Lepisosteus oculatus: one gene and its partner. The protein of the gene in region 1 binds, or shares a complex with, the protein of each later gene. Links are inferred from orthologs where the notes say so. Each region holds a gene or a part of one and is shown in the gene's direction. Other genes may lie near its edges.

The links.
Region 2: the proteins of ncapg (region 1) and ncaph are in contact, whole or in part, in a crystal structure (PDB 6IGX), measured with the Homo sapiens proteins. The link is inferred for Lepisosteus oculatus from reciprocal best matches to the Homo sapiens genes NCAPG and NCAPH. Residues at the interface, in NP_071741.2 of Homo sapiens: Lys11, Phe14, Arg15, Gln18, His50, Tyr51, Lys53, Tyr54, Val55, Met56, Val57, Glu62, Ala64, Val65, Val68, Phe102, Ser106, Glu108, Ala109, Asn110, Ser111, Val114, Arg115, Ile149, Arg150, Lys152, Asp153, Lys154, Arg159, Glu188; in NP_056156.2 of Homo sapiens: Glu471, Ile472, Asp473, Phe474, Glu475, Asp476, Asp477, Ile478, Phe480, Val482, Tyr483, Phe484, Arg485, Lys486, Thr487, Ala489, Ala490, Thr491, Ile492, Leu493, Gln501, Asn502, Trp503, Ala505, Thr506, Thr507, Leu508, Phe512, Tyr514, Val516.

What each region holds. Positions count from the first base shown.
Region 1 is NC_090696.1:11,304,024-11,311,650, forward strand, and holds the start of ncapg (condensin complex subunit 3), read left to right. Parts: upstream 1-4,612; 5' UTR 4,613-4,890; intron 4,891-4,908; exon of another isoform or gene 4,909-5,021; intron 5,022-5,518; 5' UTR 5,519-5,528; coding exon 5,529-5,633; intron 5,634-6,432; coding exon 6,433-6,648; intron 6,649-7,350; coding exon 7,351-7,579; intron 7,580-7,627. UniProt on the Homo sapiens protein: Regulatory subunit of the condensin complex, a complex required for conversion of interphase chromatin into mitotic-like condense chromosomes.
Region 2 is NC_090697.1:68,556,498-68,564,206, forward strand, and holds the start of ncaph (condensin complex subunit 2), read left to right. Parts: upstream 1-4,689; 5' UTR 4,690-4,882; intron 4,883-6,224; exon of another isoform or gene 6,225-6,228; 5' UTR 6,229-6,239; coding exon 6,240-6,484; intron 6,485-7,709. UniProt on the Homo sapiens protein: Regulatory subunit of the condensin complex, a complex required for conversion of interphase chromatin into mitotic-like condense chromosomes.

The sequences.
Region 1 (7,627 bases):
TCATCCATCTAGCTATTTTAAAGGTTTTGAAACAAGCTACATAAACAGAACAACTGGGAGTAATACTGCTGGTTCTTCCACATCCTTTTCTAATGGAATGGAATTCTTTATAATGTATTATCGTCATTGATGTTAGTCAATGTTAGTAGTCAATGTGCATTTGTCCAACTACTGTTTAGGAAAACAGTCCAGTGGAGATACTGTATACAGTATGTGTGCTGCCTGTTGAAATCCATAACTGAAGTGCTGCTAATTTTTTTTAAAGATCTCTTTAAAACCTTTGAAATTTAAAGACACTGCTTTCTAAAAAGATGTACAGTATTTAGGATTCAAGTGCCCCCTTTCATTTAATCAGATGAAATGGATACCTCTGCTGCTGTACAGGTCTGTCTAGTTTGTTTTTTAAAAGCAAAGGTTTTAAATTTGGTTAAATTTTAGTTTTTAAACAGAAGCTTGTTGGCAAAAAGTTGGAAAAAAATATTCACCTACACATTCCCATTCGCACGCCACAATTTTGGCACATACAAGTGGTATATTTATAGGAAGAGCAGGGTAAAAAATGTTGTATAAAAACAAAGAAATCTTAAAACTGAAAGAAAACATTTGGCCCATCTTGCTTAATTTGGTTGATAGGAGACAATTGATTCTAGGATTTCCTCCAGTTGTTTCCTGAAATAAGCCAAGGGCTCAGTTTCAATGGCAGGGTTGGGTAACTTGTTCCAGACTCCCACTTTTACTTGTACCTCCTCCTCGGCGGTGTGGTGGCTCTATAGCTAAGGATCTGTGGCTCTGAGTGGAAGGTTGCTTGTTCAAATCACGCAGCCGGCAGAGGAATCCTACTCCCTTGGGCCCCTGAGCAAGGCCCTTAACCCCAACTGCTCCAGGGGTGCTGTATAAATGTTTGACCCTGTACTCTGACCCCAAGCTTCTCTCCCTGTCTGTGTCTCATGGAGAGCAAGCTGGGGTATGCGAAAAGACAAAATCCTAGTGCAAGGAATTGTATAGGGCCAATAAAGCAACATTTGAGAAGACCACAGGACTGGCTTTGTCAGTGCCTTTAGGAACAACAACAACAACAATGTTTAATAATTAAGAGCCTTTGGAAACCCAGGAATGCTGGGAAATTTTAAAAAAATACAATAAGAAGTAAAAGAAGGACAACAATAAAGAAGAACTTAGATTGCCCTGACATAAGATTGAATGATAGAATGTAGGGCAACCAGGTCCCCTCCACCACCACCAATGTACAGCCATAGTGCGCCAGAACGCTCACCACACATCAGCTATTAGTGGGGAAGAAAACAGAGTGATGAAGCCAATTCAAAGATGGGGATTATTAGGAGGCCATGATTGGTAAGGGCCAGTGGGAAATTTGGCCAGGACCCCCTACTCTTTTCAAGAAAAGCCCTTGGATTTTTAATGACGATAGAAAGTCAGTACCTTGGTTTTACATCTAATCCAAAGGATGGTGCCTTTTTACAGAATAGTCTTCCTGTCACTATAATGGGGCATTAGGACAAACATAGACTGCAGGCATAGCGCCCCGTGTTGGCCCCACTAACACCTCTTCCAGCAGCAACCTTAGTTTTTCCCAGGAGGTCTCCCAACCAGGTACTGACCAGGTTCACACCTGCTGAGCTTCAGTGGGTTGCCAGCTGTGAGTTGCAGGGTGATATGGCTGCTGGCTATAACAATGGAATAACACACAGGCTTCAGTTCTGTTAGCTAGTCAATGTAGGAAAATCCCAGAAAGTCCAGAAATACTTCTGGTCTCTCCTGCTGTTATTAATTCCGGAGGAGAAATACATTTTTTGTAATGTGCTGACCAAAATTGTATGCAGTATTCTCAATGCGATCTTTCAAGTGCATTGTATAGTTTTAAAATAATATCCCATGATTTGGATTCTACACTTTAACTTCATATCCTAACATTGAGTATTTTTATTTGTTTCTTCACATCTAACTGGAAATGGTATAGCTCACTGAATGTACCAGAACCTAGATCTGCTAAAAATTTAGAAGTATTGGTCCTAATACAGATCCTTCTGGCAAAATACAGAATGCATTGGTATTATATTTGTGAGCTAAATCTATTATGTGCTTCAAGCAGAATATCTTTAAGCTGTAGCCATCAATTTTCTACTGATTTCATACCTAACCAGCCCATCTAAGTATATTGTAAACTATCATATCAGAATCAAACTGACTTCTTCAGAATCAACAGTGAAACACAAACCAGAAAACACAACTGGAAACTGCATGGAAGTACAGTCTTGACACATAACAACACAAGAATGTAAGAAAGTTTACAAACAAGAGGGGGACATCTAACAGTTGTGGTAGTTAGCTTAAAAAACAGTTTAGCTTTAAAATCACAGTCTCAAAATGTTCAGGTTTTTTTATGTTAATATCATACAAATACCCTATGGAGTGCAGAAACCACCGCAGTAGAATCTGATTTGACCTGCAAGGAAATCGGAGTGTTGTCAGCATAGCAGTGAATCCCAAGAATCCACCCAAGATTAAAAATATCAATACAGTACAAAAAAAAAGTTCATAGCACAGAGCTGTTGGAACACTTTGAGTAAGTGGGATAACATTAAATTTAAAACAGACCAGACCAGATCGCTAAATTTGCTCCTGGGAGCCATATACTGTAGGAGCCAAATCAACAAAGGCAACCTAGTTAATCCCTAGATAGTTCTACATGCTATTTAGTAGGATGCCTGGATTGACAGTATCAAAAGCTGCACTTAAATCCAGAAGAAGAATATTAAGCAGCTGAAGGTCACAAACCATCAGCAAATCAGGAACTACTTTAACAAAGGCTGCTTCTGTGCTTAATCTCTGTCTAACCCTTGACCGCATAGGTTTAAAGAGCTCATTAACAGGCAGGATGAGACTATTTTTGTTTGTTCACGGATTTTTGATAGAAAATGCAAATTATAAGTGGGATGGTAGCTGTTAGGTACTTGAAGGTCCAACAAGAGAAGGATACTCCGAATCTCCCCATCTTCCCCAACACTGCAGTCACACTCCAGGAGGCGAGGAAGATAGTATTAGCAAGAAGAAGTGAAAGTGTTACAGGCTAAAGGATTGCTGGAAATTTAAAATAATGTGAATAATATAGCAGTTATATAAGACAAATGTTTAGGGCCTGATGATTTTCTATGAAGTGTACTAAAGATAACAAGGGATGTTATATATAAAAAATATTTTATCTGCTATTTAATACAGGGTAAATCCCACTTGACAGAGCATCAATTCACAAACAAGGTGGGTTGACTCTATCACCAATCCACAAATCCAGACCAAGGAATTACAGACTGAGGAGCAAAAGCTGTACAGGAAGGGTGCTGCTTGGAGTTGTGGTGTTCTTCTACTTACGATGAATATTTTTCCTGTTTACAACATGATTGCATAAAGAAAGACTGCAAATGAGAAGAGACCATTTGGCTATCTTGCTTGTTTGGTTGTTTAGTAGTTAAGGGAGACTAGAACTCTCCAGAGTTTGGGTGTTAAAACCTGGCTGGGAAGATCAGATACTCATTACTCTTTTGTATATAAAAAAAACATTTCCCATTCACCCTCCTTCCATTTTAGTCTACAGTTATGGCAATTTGTCCTTGTTTTGCTACTGCGTTACACATATCTGTACCACTTAGGACCCTATACACTTGAGAAACATCCTGTTTTGTGGACTGAAGAGATTTTGCTCCCTTAACTTCTCCATAATGTTACCTCCATGACATTCTCCATGCTTTGCTTTAACTTCCTTGGCGCTGTGTGTGCCACTCCACCTATAAGTGTATAATCTGCAAATGTTTTTCTAATTATAGTAACATCTAAACCTTTGATGTACATAATGGTGCTGTGGCACTCCACTGCTTATATCTGTCCAGTGTCCCATAATTTAATTCTGATCAACGTTCATACACTACCCTGGATTCCTATGGCTTTTGAAAATCAACTAATCGTAGTTACTTGAGGTATTTACATACATACTGTGCATTGTTGTTAGCAGATGCATTTGAGCAGTTAAATGTGCTCACACACGCTCAGAAGAATAAAATGAAACAATTGTATGTTCAAAGCTTTTATTACAAAAGGGCTCAGTTATAGCTGTGCTCTCCAGTCCTAGGTTCAAACATATTACAGTGGCGGACATTATGTTGCTACACACTAGCTGAGCATCTGACCAGAATAAGAGGCATAATAGAGAAACAGACATCATCAAAGTACAGGCTCAGTGACCACAGCCTGGCTATAGAAACTGGACACAGGCAGACCCCGATGCCCAGAGAGGACAGGCTATGCTCCCACTGCCAGCGGGGAGAAGCAGTGACAGAGATCCACTTTCCGTTGCACTGTGAGAAATAGTCTGGGATTAGGTAAACATTCTTCCCTAAAATAACTGTAACTGTAACAGTACGCAACTGTACTGGGATATGTTTGTAATGTAAATGCAGTGTTTTTTTGTTTCTGCTTGGCAACATTGTAGTGCATCGGTCATGCCAATAAAGCTCGTCGAATTTGAATTTGAAAATACAAAAATACTCATCCGACTCAGTCCAAAAGCTTCACTGTCCTACATCTCCACCTCGCGGCGGGTAGACGCTACAGCACCAGAAATATTGTAATAGCCCAAGTATTCTGTTGCCATTTCTAATTTACAAGTGCTTTCTTGTAATACATTCTGTTAACAGATAAACCTTCAAAGTTCGCTGTATTATGTATATTTTGTTTTATTTACATTTTTTGTGAAACGTACCTTGAAACAATTTCACAGAGTGTGAGAGGAAAAGGGGCCGGGTGAGTTGAGATCTCGTCTACTTTCTCGCGAGAAAAGGCTTGTTTTTGAAAATTGGCGGTTTAGAGGAAGGAAAAGAGGTAAGACTTGCCGGAATTTAAATGTGTCTTTATTTTTTAAACGGATATTAAATTCGAAAACTGGCAGTAGAGTAAAACATAGACATATAATAACTACAGCGAGCATCTTCTCGGTCTTCATCTTATCTTAGGTAAGGATAACCTAACTGTAGGTAAATGTTTATGCTCGTTAATAAATAATGTTCAGGAACTACGACCGCAACGTCGACAATCTACTTACACAAAGTAACTAGTTACTCCACTTCAAAAGATTGTAATTTATAATCTGAACACTAAATGTTGATCGATTTCATTTCAAAACACGTTTGCTATATACTGCCTGTTTTACGCCATAAGATATGGTTTAATCGATATTAATTATACATTTAAATGGCTTTAAAGGTGGATTGTAACTTTCGAAGTAAACAAGTCTTATTATCGATTTTGTTTCTCTGTTTTGTGGTAGTAAATGAAGGTGTGGTGACATCTAGGAGAATTGTCAAAAAAATAATGCCGATGACTAGTCTGGGTTACTAGTTAATTACATTATAGGCATATATATGTATACACTTTTTGTTTTGTTACCTCTTCCCTATTCTAATTCTTCATTTTAATTTGGTCCTTTGTGAAACATTTCTCCTTCCCCCAGCAACACAAAGATGACGGAAATCAAGGATATTATTAAAGAGACGTATGAAAAGGCTCAGAAGGGTCACAACAACAAAGCCAAACTCGTAGCTGCTTTGAAGAGCAAATATAACGAGGTAATGATTTCATTTTTAACTGCTAATGTGTTTATTCTGTTAACTGCACATCATTTCCATTGCTAAAACCTGCAACGTCTGTAAATGACAGCAAGCTTATTATTCACTTGTCTTTTTTGTGAGATTCACTTTATTTCTGGTTTCAGTTAGATTTAGAAATGAAAAAAGCAGGTATATTTTGTATTCATTTTAGTATATTTCATTAAAACATATTTGTAACTAAAAAGTGGACATGACTATAGACATTGGATTTCACCTCCTGGTCTGGAAAGGCCCAGTCCAATACATTTTATAGATACCCATGAAATGAAGTTCTTATTCTTAGTTTAGCAGATGACATTAAATTTAGTAATTTAAAGATGTAAATTAAGAAAAACCTTTTGATTTTTTCCTGCACTTAAGAAAGAGGTGACATAAATATGTTTCGCTGTGCAGCAATCAGGATGGAGATGTCCTAAATATCACCTGATCCTCTTACTGTTGTTCAAGCTATGTCATTTTCCATTTCAAAATGTTGAAAGCTTTTGTTTGTTTATAATGCAATATCTCACTAGATTTTATTTATATAGTTCATGTGTATACAAGAGTGGCACAGTGGTGCTGTGGTAAGCATTTAGTCATTTGGTTGGCTGGCTTTCTTTTTTAAAAATTGCCTATGCTGAGCTGTATATTGTAAATATTTTGTAATACCCTTTTGTTTTGGATACAATTGCTAATGGTATAGTCTTAACTAAGAGATAATTGTAAAAATAACTATTGCAAACGATAATTCCTTTATGTAATCTACTTTTTTGTTTAGCTGGAAGACAAAACCATCTTCCATGAAGAGTTTGTTCATTATCTGAAGTACCCCATGATTGTTTATAAGCGAGAACCAGCTGTTGAGAATGTGATCGACTTTGTTGCAAAGTTTGCTACAAGTTTTGAAGAACCGGTGGAGAATGAGGAAGTGTTGGAAGAGAGTGAGGAAGAAGAAAACCCTTTTCTGAATTACTTGTTTACCTTTTTGCTAAAGGTATGAATGTGTAGCTTTATAATAATAATAATTGTTTATAATTATATAGCACCTTTCTGGACACTCCACTCAAAGTGCTTTACAGGTAATGGGGACTCCCCTCCACCGCCACCAGTGTGCAGCCCCACCTGGATGATGCAACGATAGCCATAGTGCACCAGAACGCTCACCACACATCAGCTATCAGAGGGGAGGAGAAAGAGTAATGAAGCCAGTTCATAGATGGGGATTATTAGGAGGCCATGATTGATTAGGGCCAATGGGAAATTTGGCCAGGACGCTGGGGTTACACCCCTACTCTTTTCGAGAAACACCCTGGGGTTTTTAATGACCACGGATAGTCAGGACCTTGGTTTTATGTCTCATCCAAAGGACGGTGCCTATTTACAGTATAGTAAACTATACTGCTTTGACTTTTTAAAAGTTTCGTGAACAGTGTGCTGGCAAAGTGTGGGTTTTTACTTGAACTACTGCTTTTTGCTTCAACTGGTATATCAAATTATTTTGTGTTTTTTATATAAATCTTGGTATTTCTGGATTATGCACACAAGCAAATTCTGAACCATAATATCCATGCTAATTCACCATGCTATGTTATTAAAAATTTGTTTTTGTGAGTGTTTTTGGCTTAATGAGATGCCTGAGTTAGATAAAAAGGTTGGTCAGCTGTCTTTACTTTGCTTTTTTTTTTAATTTTCGTAGTCCCACGATGCCAACAGCCATGCAGTTCGGTTCCGTGTTTGTCAGCTTATCAATAAGTTGTTGGGAAGCATGGCTGAAAATGCTCAAATTGATGAAGACCTCTTTGACCGTATTCATGAGTCTATGCTGATCAGAGTGAAAGACAAGTTTCCAAATGTCAGGATCCAAGCAGCTTTGGCCATGACTAGACTTCAAGAGCCACAGAATGAGAACTGCCCCACTATTAATGGTTGGTAATATCACTCGTTTTATGATACGTGTATCTACATTTTGATTT
Region 2 (7,709 bases), on another chromosome or scaffold:
AAGAAAGCTTTTTCAAATTAGCTAAAAGTGCACAGTGACCTCTTCCTGTCTAAAAGCTTTCCTGCGTGCCCATGAAACTATTGACTGTACTTCCTTGTCTCCCCCTCTGTTTGCCTACTGCGCCGTGGTGCCACGACGGGCAGGGAAACAGTCTGTTGCGGAGTCGCCGCTATAGGCTGAAATGCTGAGAGCTGAAAGACTGCTCTTGTTTGATCAGCCCCTGCTTTGCTCATGAGGGCAGGAGGATGCTTCGTTATCTCAAAAAGAAGCGAGGATTTTCTTTCCATTTCCCCATAATTTTGAGGAATGCCTCCCTGAATAAAATAAGTGCTGCATCCAGTAACGTAAATAAAAAGCATTAACGAGAGGTAGGCATGTTCTGACTGGCTGTTTGGCAGAGACTTCTGTACAGTTTTGAAAAGGACGGGCCAGCAGTATGAGACTAAGTGAGAGACACTAGCAGTCGTATGTGTTCCTGCCTATCTGTGTTTGGGCTAGGCACTTCACAGCTTTATCATGCCAGTAGCATTCATAAACATGCAAGTTTATTTAAGGCACTCTCAAAAATATGATGAAGGCTTTCTAGATGCAGCGTACTTTTTTGTTTCCAGATGGAAACAAAAAAATAATCTGAGGAGTACTCACGAGTGCGTTTTGTTTTTCAAGGAATTATCAGTAAATGAGTTTGCCTCACGTTAACAAAGAGAGGAAAAGCTGGAGCTCTTATTGGTGGAACAACCGAGACTTAAGCTGATTCTAAAAACACCTGCACACTGGAGGACTCTAGCTCAGTGGTGCACTGCTCCATTTTTTTAAAAAGAGCAGGTTGGAGGCAGAATTCAATGATCTGTGAACAAAAGCAAAAGTAATCTTCTTCAAACTTTAGTCTTTGAGTTTTATTTTGTGTGTGCTTGAGAATGTATGGTACAGCATGCCAGCAGAAGGAATGCCCAATAAATGTCTGATCCAAAACAGGGGCACACCACCCCCTCTCCTAAACTTTCAAAGCATATATTAACAATGGACTCGAAGCATATTTTGGAAAATTATAATAAAAGCAGTGATGGTAATAACAAACCTCATCATTAACTGTCATTCCCTACCACCCTTCCAAACAAAATAGCCTGGCTGGGTTTTCTGATGGCTTTTCATGTGAAATTATTAATAACCCATTACCCCTTCAGTGAAGCTATCATTCCATGGCCTGTCAGATGCTCAGTACATCAGCAGCTGCTTTTAACTCTCGTCTGCGAGCCACAAAGCAAAATGAGACACACTCCATAAATATTATGCTGAGCCCAACCTGCCTGGAGCAAGCCGGAATTATTATCCTGCATTATGGTGTATTAGAGAACATTACAGATCCCCCCCTCCTAAGGGTCATGATGATGTCTTTTCCCCATATACTCCAGTGCAATTTCTGGTGCTGGAGGGGATCTCATTCACAAATAACCTGGCAGTTTTAACACTCCTATACAGAATACACAAAAATATAAGAACACTGTATGGGCAGCAAATGAGAAGGCCCATCATGCCCACTTGGGTCCTAGTAGCTAATGCATTCACAAATTTAATTCTGCCGTACAAGATCCCAGAGTGTCTGCTCCAACAGCTTGTCAAAACTGCCTGTTCCAGACACCCACCACTCATCTCAGTAATTACCTGACTAAGGGACGCAACAGAGCCAGGTGTGTTTATTCTGACATCTTGTGAACCACTATTATCCCATACACAGGCCATTCAACTAATCGTTTGACTTGTTGCTTCTTTCATCTATTACAGTATGTGCCCCACAGCTTAGATTTCAAAGCTGATTTTGAAACGTGTGGGACAATTAGCATTGCACTGTTGTCTAAACATACTTTAATGTACTTTACCCATCTCTGGTAATTATTTTCATCCCTTCTTAAAAGAATTGTGGAGAAGCCCTTCTGTAACAGCAGAAAGAATAACAAGGAATCCTACTGAATTGGTACGTGGTACTTTTTTCAACAAATTATCAGGTGTTGCTTAGTGCTTCTTGAGGTTATTAAAAAGGTCTTCTCTTTCAGAAAGCTAGTTGATTCAAATTCACTTTAGATCATTTAAAAATGTTGCATAAAAATTATCAAATGTTAATAACTGAGTTTCAGACTTACTGTATGTAAAGAACATTGAACTCTTGTGTTAATACAGCTTGGTATCATTCTGCTTCCAGAAACGACAGAACTGAACATTCAGAATAAACTAAATAGGCAACTGTTTTGGAAAACTGTATTGCATGTTTTCTCCCACCTATAGGCAATGATGCATAATTGCACGTAATTTTCCAAGCAGCCAGGACAGCTAACAGGTAGGTTCCATCCACAGTCAAAACGTAACCTACCTGTAGTGGCATCAAAGCTAACATCAGGCATGATTACATTTCAACCTAAAGTACACTTTTTCTTAGAAGCAGAAATCAATCACATTTTCAGATTTTTTTGTAATTCTTTCTATATAAAATAATGTAAATATAAATAAAGGTATATTAGATGTATCGAATGCAAAAAAATGATATTTCACATAATTAGTAATTGGGGCACATTTATACATCTCCCAATCCCGTTACCCCCTCGACACCATCAAATCCACTAATCTTGCTGGACCCACCCTTTCGGGACTTGAAAGACACTCTGCTAAAATAATTCTTTCTGGCAACCCAGTGCTCTGCACTCCCCCCGCTGCCAATATCTCCAGTTGTGACAAAATTGAAAATTCCCTCAGGCTTTCAGTCAGAAAAATTCAAATTGAGGAGACCTCACCAGGTGCAATTCTAAGTCTTTTAAGGAAATGGAAAAGTTGAAAGTTGGCTTGGTTAAAAAAACACAACATGCCTTCTGAATCCCAGAGCGTAATTGGGCCCACTGGGGCATGCAGGTAAATATGGCTGGAGGATCAGTGCTCGGAGAGGGGCTGTGTATGTAATTAAAAGCTGCGCTTGCACAGGGCTGTGTTCTCAGGCCAGTGAAAAGCCTACAGTGGCTGAACACTCACATTGTCCAGTGTTGCTGCAGGACCTGGGGACTTATCCTACACTCCCTTCCAGGTCAGATATGGCCAGCAGCCATATCACTCTGCAACTCACAACTGGCAACCCACTGAAGCTCAGCAGGTGTAAGCCTGGCCAGTACCTGGATGGGAGACCTCCTGGGAAAACTAAGGTTGCTGCTGGAAGAGGTGTTAGTGGAGCCAGCAGGGGGCGCTCACCCTGTGGTCCATGTGGGTCCTAATGCCCCAGTATGGTGACGGGGACACTATACTGTAAACAGGCGCCGTCCTTTGGATGGGATGTAAAACCGAGGTCATTAAAAATCCCAGGGTCTTGAAAAGAGTAGGGGTGTAACCCCGGAATCCTGGCCAAACTTCCCATTGGCCCTTACCAATAATCCCCATCTATGAATTGGCTTCATTACTCTGCTCTCCTCCCCACTGAGAGCTGGTGTGTGATAAGTGTTCTGGCGCACTATGGCTGCTGTTGCATCATCCAGGTGGATGCTGCACATTGGTGGTGGTGGAGGGGAGTCCCCGTTACCTGTAAAGTGCTTTGAGTGGACTGTCCAGAAAAGTGCTATATGAGTGTAAGCAATTATTAATAATTATTATTAGATTCCCAAAGGACCACTATTTACACGCTGCCTCTTCTGTCAGACTCAAGCACGCGTGTCTCATGCTGCTTACACAATTCAGTAATGAAAACTTATCACATATAATCATCTCAACTGATGATAGCTGGGATGTCAGGTTATGCAAATCTGTCATGGTGTTAGTGGTGTTAGTGGGGCCAGCAGGGGGCGCTCACCCTGTGGTCCATGTGGGTCCTAATGCCCCAGTATAGTGATGGGGACACTATACTGTAAACAGGCGCCGTCCTTCGGATGAGACGTAAAACCGAGGTCCTGACTCTCTGTGGTCATTAAAAATCCCAGGGCTCTTCTCGAAAAGAGTAGGGGTGTACCCCGGTGTCCTGGCCAAATTTCCAATTGGCCCTTACTAATCATGGCCTCCTAATAATCCCCCTCTATGAATTGGCTACATTACTCCGCTCTCCTCCCCACTGATAGCTGATGTGTGGTGAGCGTTCTGGCGCACTATGGCTGCCGTCGCATCATCCAGGTGGATGCTGCACATTGGTGGTGGTGGAGGGGAGTCCCCATTACCTGTAAAGCGCTTTGAGTGGAGTGTCCAGAAAAGCGCTATATAAGTGTAAGCAATTATTATTATTATTATTGTCATGTTAACAGTACCTAACACCTAGTGTAGTCTAAAATCTAATTAGGTTCTCTAAGAGGAAAACAAGCTAACTGCTGTCGTTACTAATACATCTAGAACTATTATACCATATAATAGTTAATATTATACCTGGATAATATTATACAGATATAGATAATATTACACCGGGGTTCCCATCAAGGTCGTAAGCGATTTATCTGGTTAAATAAAGGATTAGGTAAACATCCGCACACCATTTTATCGCGCTATTTCTTATAAAATATCTAGGGAAGGGAAAATGTGCACTATAAATAGCGCCAGGGCCTCCTTTGTACAATATTTCCTGCATTTACTAATAGCACAAAACCTACAGCCCACCCACTTGCCTACAGAGCAGGAAACTCAAATGAGAACCGTGTTTTTGACTATACGTGATGACGTTTTACGATCGCGCCGATGTGCGTGCGCATGCGTAATTGTGTCGGCGCAAATTTTCAAAAAGTGAGGACTGAGCAATCTTAAGTAACATCGTATAACATATTATCCATCATATTCACAAACAGTTTATTGGTGGTGTTTTTTGGGGTTTTTAAATCTTGTTATTTTTAGTGTTGGCTTATATAGCCTTCGGTTAAACAGGATCTAGATCACGGTAAGGCTTTTTAAAGTTTTTTTTTCTGATCCCGGTGCGTGATCTGAATTGTGTTAATACAAAACAGTAATTGGAATTTAAAATCAGAGCTATATAACTTAAATATAGCTCCAATAAATATGTATCTGGGATAACAATATTTTTTCTCAACAATTTGGAAGTTATGTGCTCGTAAAAATTGGTTTCAGAGGAGAAATTTCGGTGATGTTTCGAGTTATTTACATCTCGGCAAAACCAGTAAATATGACGCGATCGCTTATAAAACTGCAAGTAATGTACGCACGGTTATGTGCGCTCGTTACGTTAAAATTATATTTATAATGTATCTCGATTATCCAGTAGAATTGTTAATACAGCAGTAGAAACCACCACAGACCAAAACAAACATCGCACTCCGGATGTTTCGCCTCTTCTGTCCCTGGGCGACTCTCTATTGTAACAGTCAGGCCGGTGTGTCCTAACCTCAGTTGTATTTTAACTGTCCATAACAGTGTTCTTACTGGGGTTGAATAATAGTGTAATTCCTTATTAGGTTGACTTTTATAGAAAATGACTCACAGAAGTTACATTTACCTGTTTTTAAAGGTGGACTTGCTGAAATAATCTGGTTAAAGTACTTTATACAGTACTTAATCCCTACTCCACTCTTAATTGTACAATGCTACCTATGATTTCAACAGGAAGTCGGTCGAAAATTAAAGCTTGTGCTTCATAATGCATTCTGAGTATTTGTACTGTTCTAGCTGTTTGTGTAACAGAGCTTGACTAATTGTAATTATTGCTCAGTTGAACAGACAGACAAGGACATGTTGTCGTAAAAGTATAAAAGTGCTAACTGTACTGTGACGAAGAGCCATCCATAAAATGGAGGAAACACTGACTTTGTAGCTAGACCTTGTATATCATGCAAAAAGCTCATAGATATTCCAAGGATGAGGAAATATTCTAGTAGAGTTCTACTTATGCTAGATTTGTTCATTGTAATATGGGCTGGATCTGTATGTTAAGCGCTGTCTGAGGGATGGTCTGTACTACTATACTACTATTACTACTACTACTAATTATTATTATTATTATTTATTACTCTACTCAAAGCTCTTTATGGGTAATGGGGACTCCCCTCCATTACCACCAGTGTGCAGCCCCACCTGGATGATGCGACGGCAGCCATAGTGCGCCAGAACGATCCCCTCACATCAGCTATGAGTGGGGAGGAGGACAGAGTGATGAAGCCAATTCAGAGATGGGGATTGTTAAATATGAAGTTGCATGCGTACCTCATTCTTATTGCCAGCTTCGGGGTTGTCTAAGAGTGCTGTTCTGTGCCATCTCTCTCTCCGAGGCAGCCTGTGCCGCGATGAGTGCCTCCTCCACCCCCCGCCTGGGCATGCGCTCCCACGTCCTCACGGAGATGCTGCCCGGGAAGCAGTTCGTCTCGCCCTCCACCCGTGCCAAGGTGGTGCAGGTCGCCCACCAGCCGCTGCTCAACAGCTGCCCCAGCAACGATGACGACCTGGAGAAGAGGCAGAGGCGGCGCTCCAAGGTCATCGACCTGCACATGAGCGGCCTGGATGGCTCGCTGCTGGATTCCCCTGCGCGCAGGTCAGCCGGGGGCTTACAGCCAGGCCACAGAGTTTCATGAGCATGTGTTTCCCTGTGTGACTGTGGGTGGCAAGGTGGCACATTACAGTAGATTTCCTGTAGGGCTCTCCTGCTTAAATACCTCCAAGATCCTTTTTTATTTATTTAAGCGAGTGGCACGGTGGCGCAGTGGTTAACATTTCTGCCTCACAGTTTCCAGGGAGCTATCAGTGTGAAGTTCGTATGTTTTCTCCGTGTTTGCCTGGATGTCCTCCTGGTGCTCCACTTTCCTCACACAGCCCAAAGACGTGTTGGTAGGTTAATTGGCTTCTGGGAAAACTGGCCCTGGTGTGTGTGTGTGTTTGTGTCTGTGCGTGCCCTGTGATGGATTGACATCCTGTCCAGGGTGTTTTCTGTCTTGTGCCCCTTGCTTGCTGGGATAGGCTCCAGCTTCGGCACCCCCACGACTCTGTTTTGCATGAAGTGGTTAGAAAAGGGATGGAAAGCCTGAGCTTCTTGAAGCAGTGGTATCGCACGTCAGTTATACTGTCCATCATTGTAGGATTAGCAGTTAGAATTGTTCTCAGTGTGGAGTTCTGGGGGAATCCCAGAAAAACAAAGGGAAAGTTCTCTCTTACATCAGTGAACCTTCACATACAGATGGGCTTTCAGAAAAGCAGAAAAAGGTGTAGATAGATAGATAGATACTTTATTGATCCCGTGAGGGAAATTGCAGTGCAACAGCAGCTTAACACACACAACACAGCCACAGTGTAACGAATTATATACTAATAGTACAATACATACAATACAATACAATACAATACAAGAGTTACTCACAGTCCGGACACACAAGAGGAAACTAGAACAGAACAGTACACAGAAAATCGTATCACACGTATGAATATAAATATAGATGTAACCATAGATGTAACCAATAGATGTAACCAATATAAATGTATTGCACAGGTCCCTGGCATATATTGCACAAAAGTGGTTGTCAATGGGAAAAAGAAAAAGAAAGAGAACAGAGGTAGCGCTGCTCTTTGAACATTGCATGCAGGGATCCAGTGTATATAGCCTCACTCAGCAGCCTGATCAAAAGATCAAAGAGATCTCCTGGGGAGACAGATTGGTGTCCAGACCCTTTGTCTTTCTGATATATTTCTGAGCCTCTCAGATGTGTACAAGGTTTTTAAAGCAAAATGAATTTGCAACAGAAATTTTCTTCTTTGGTTTCTCCAGC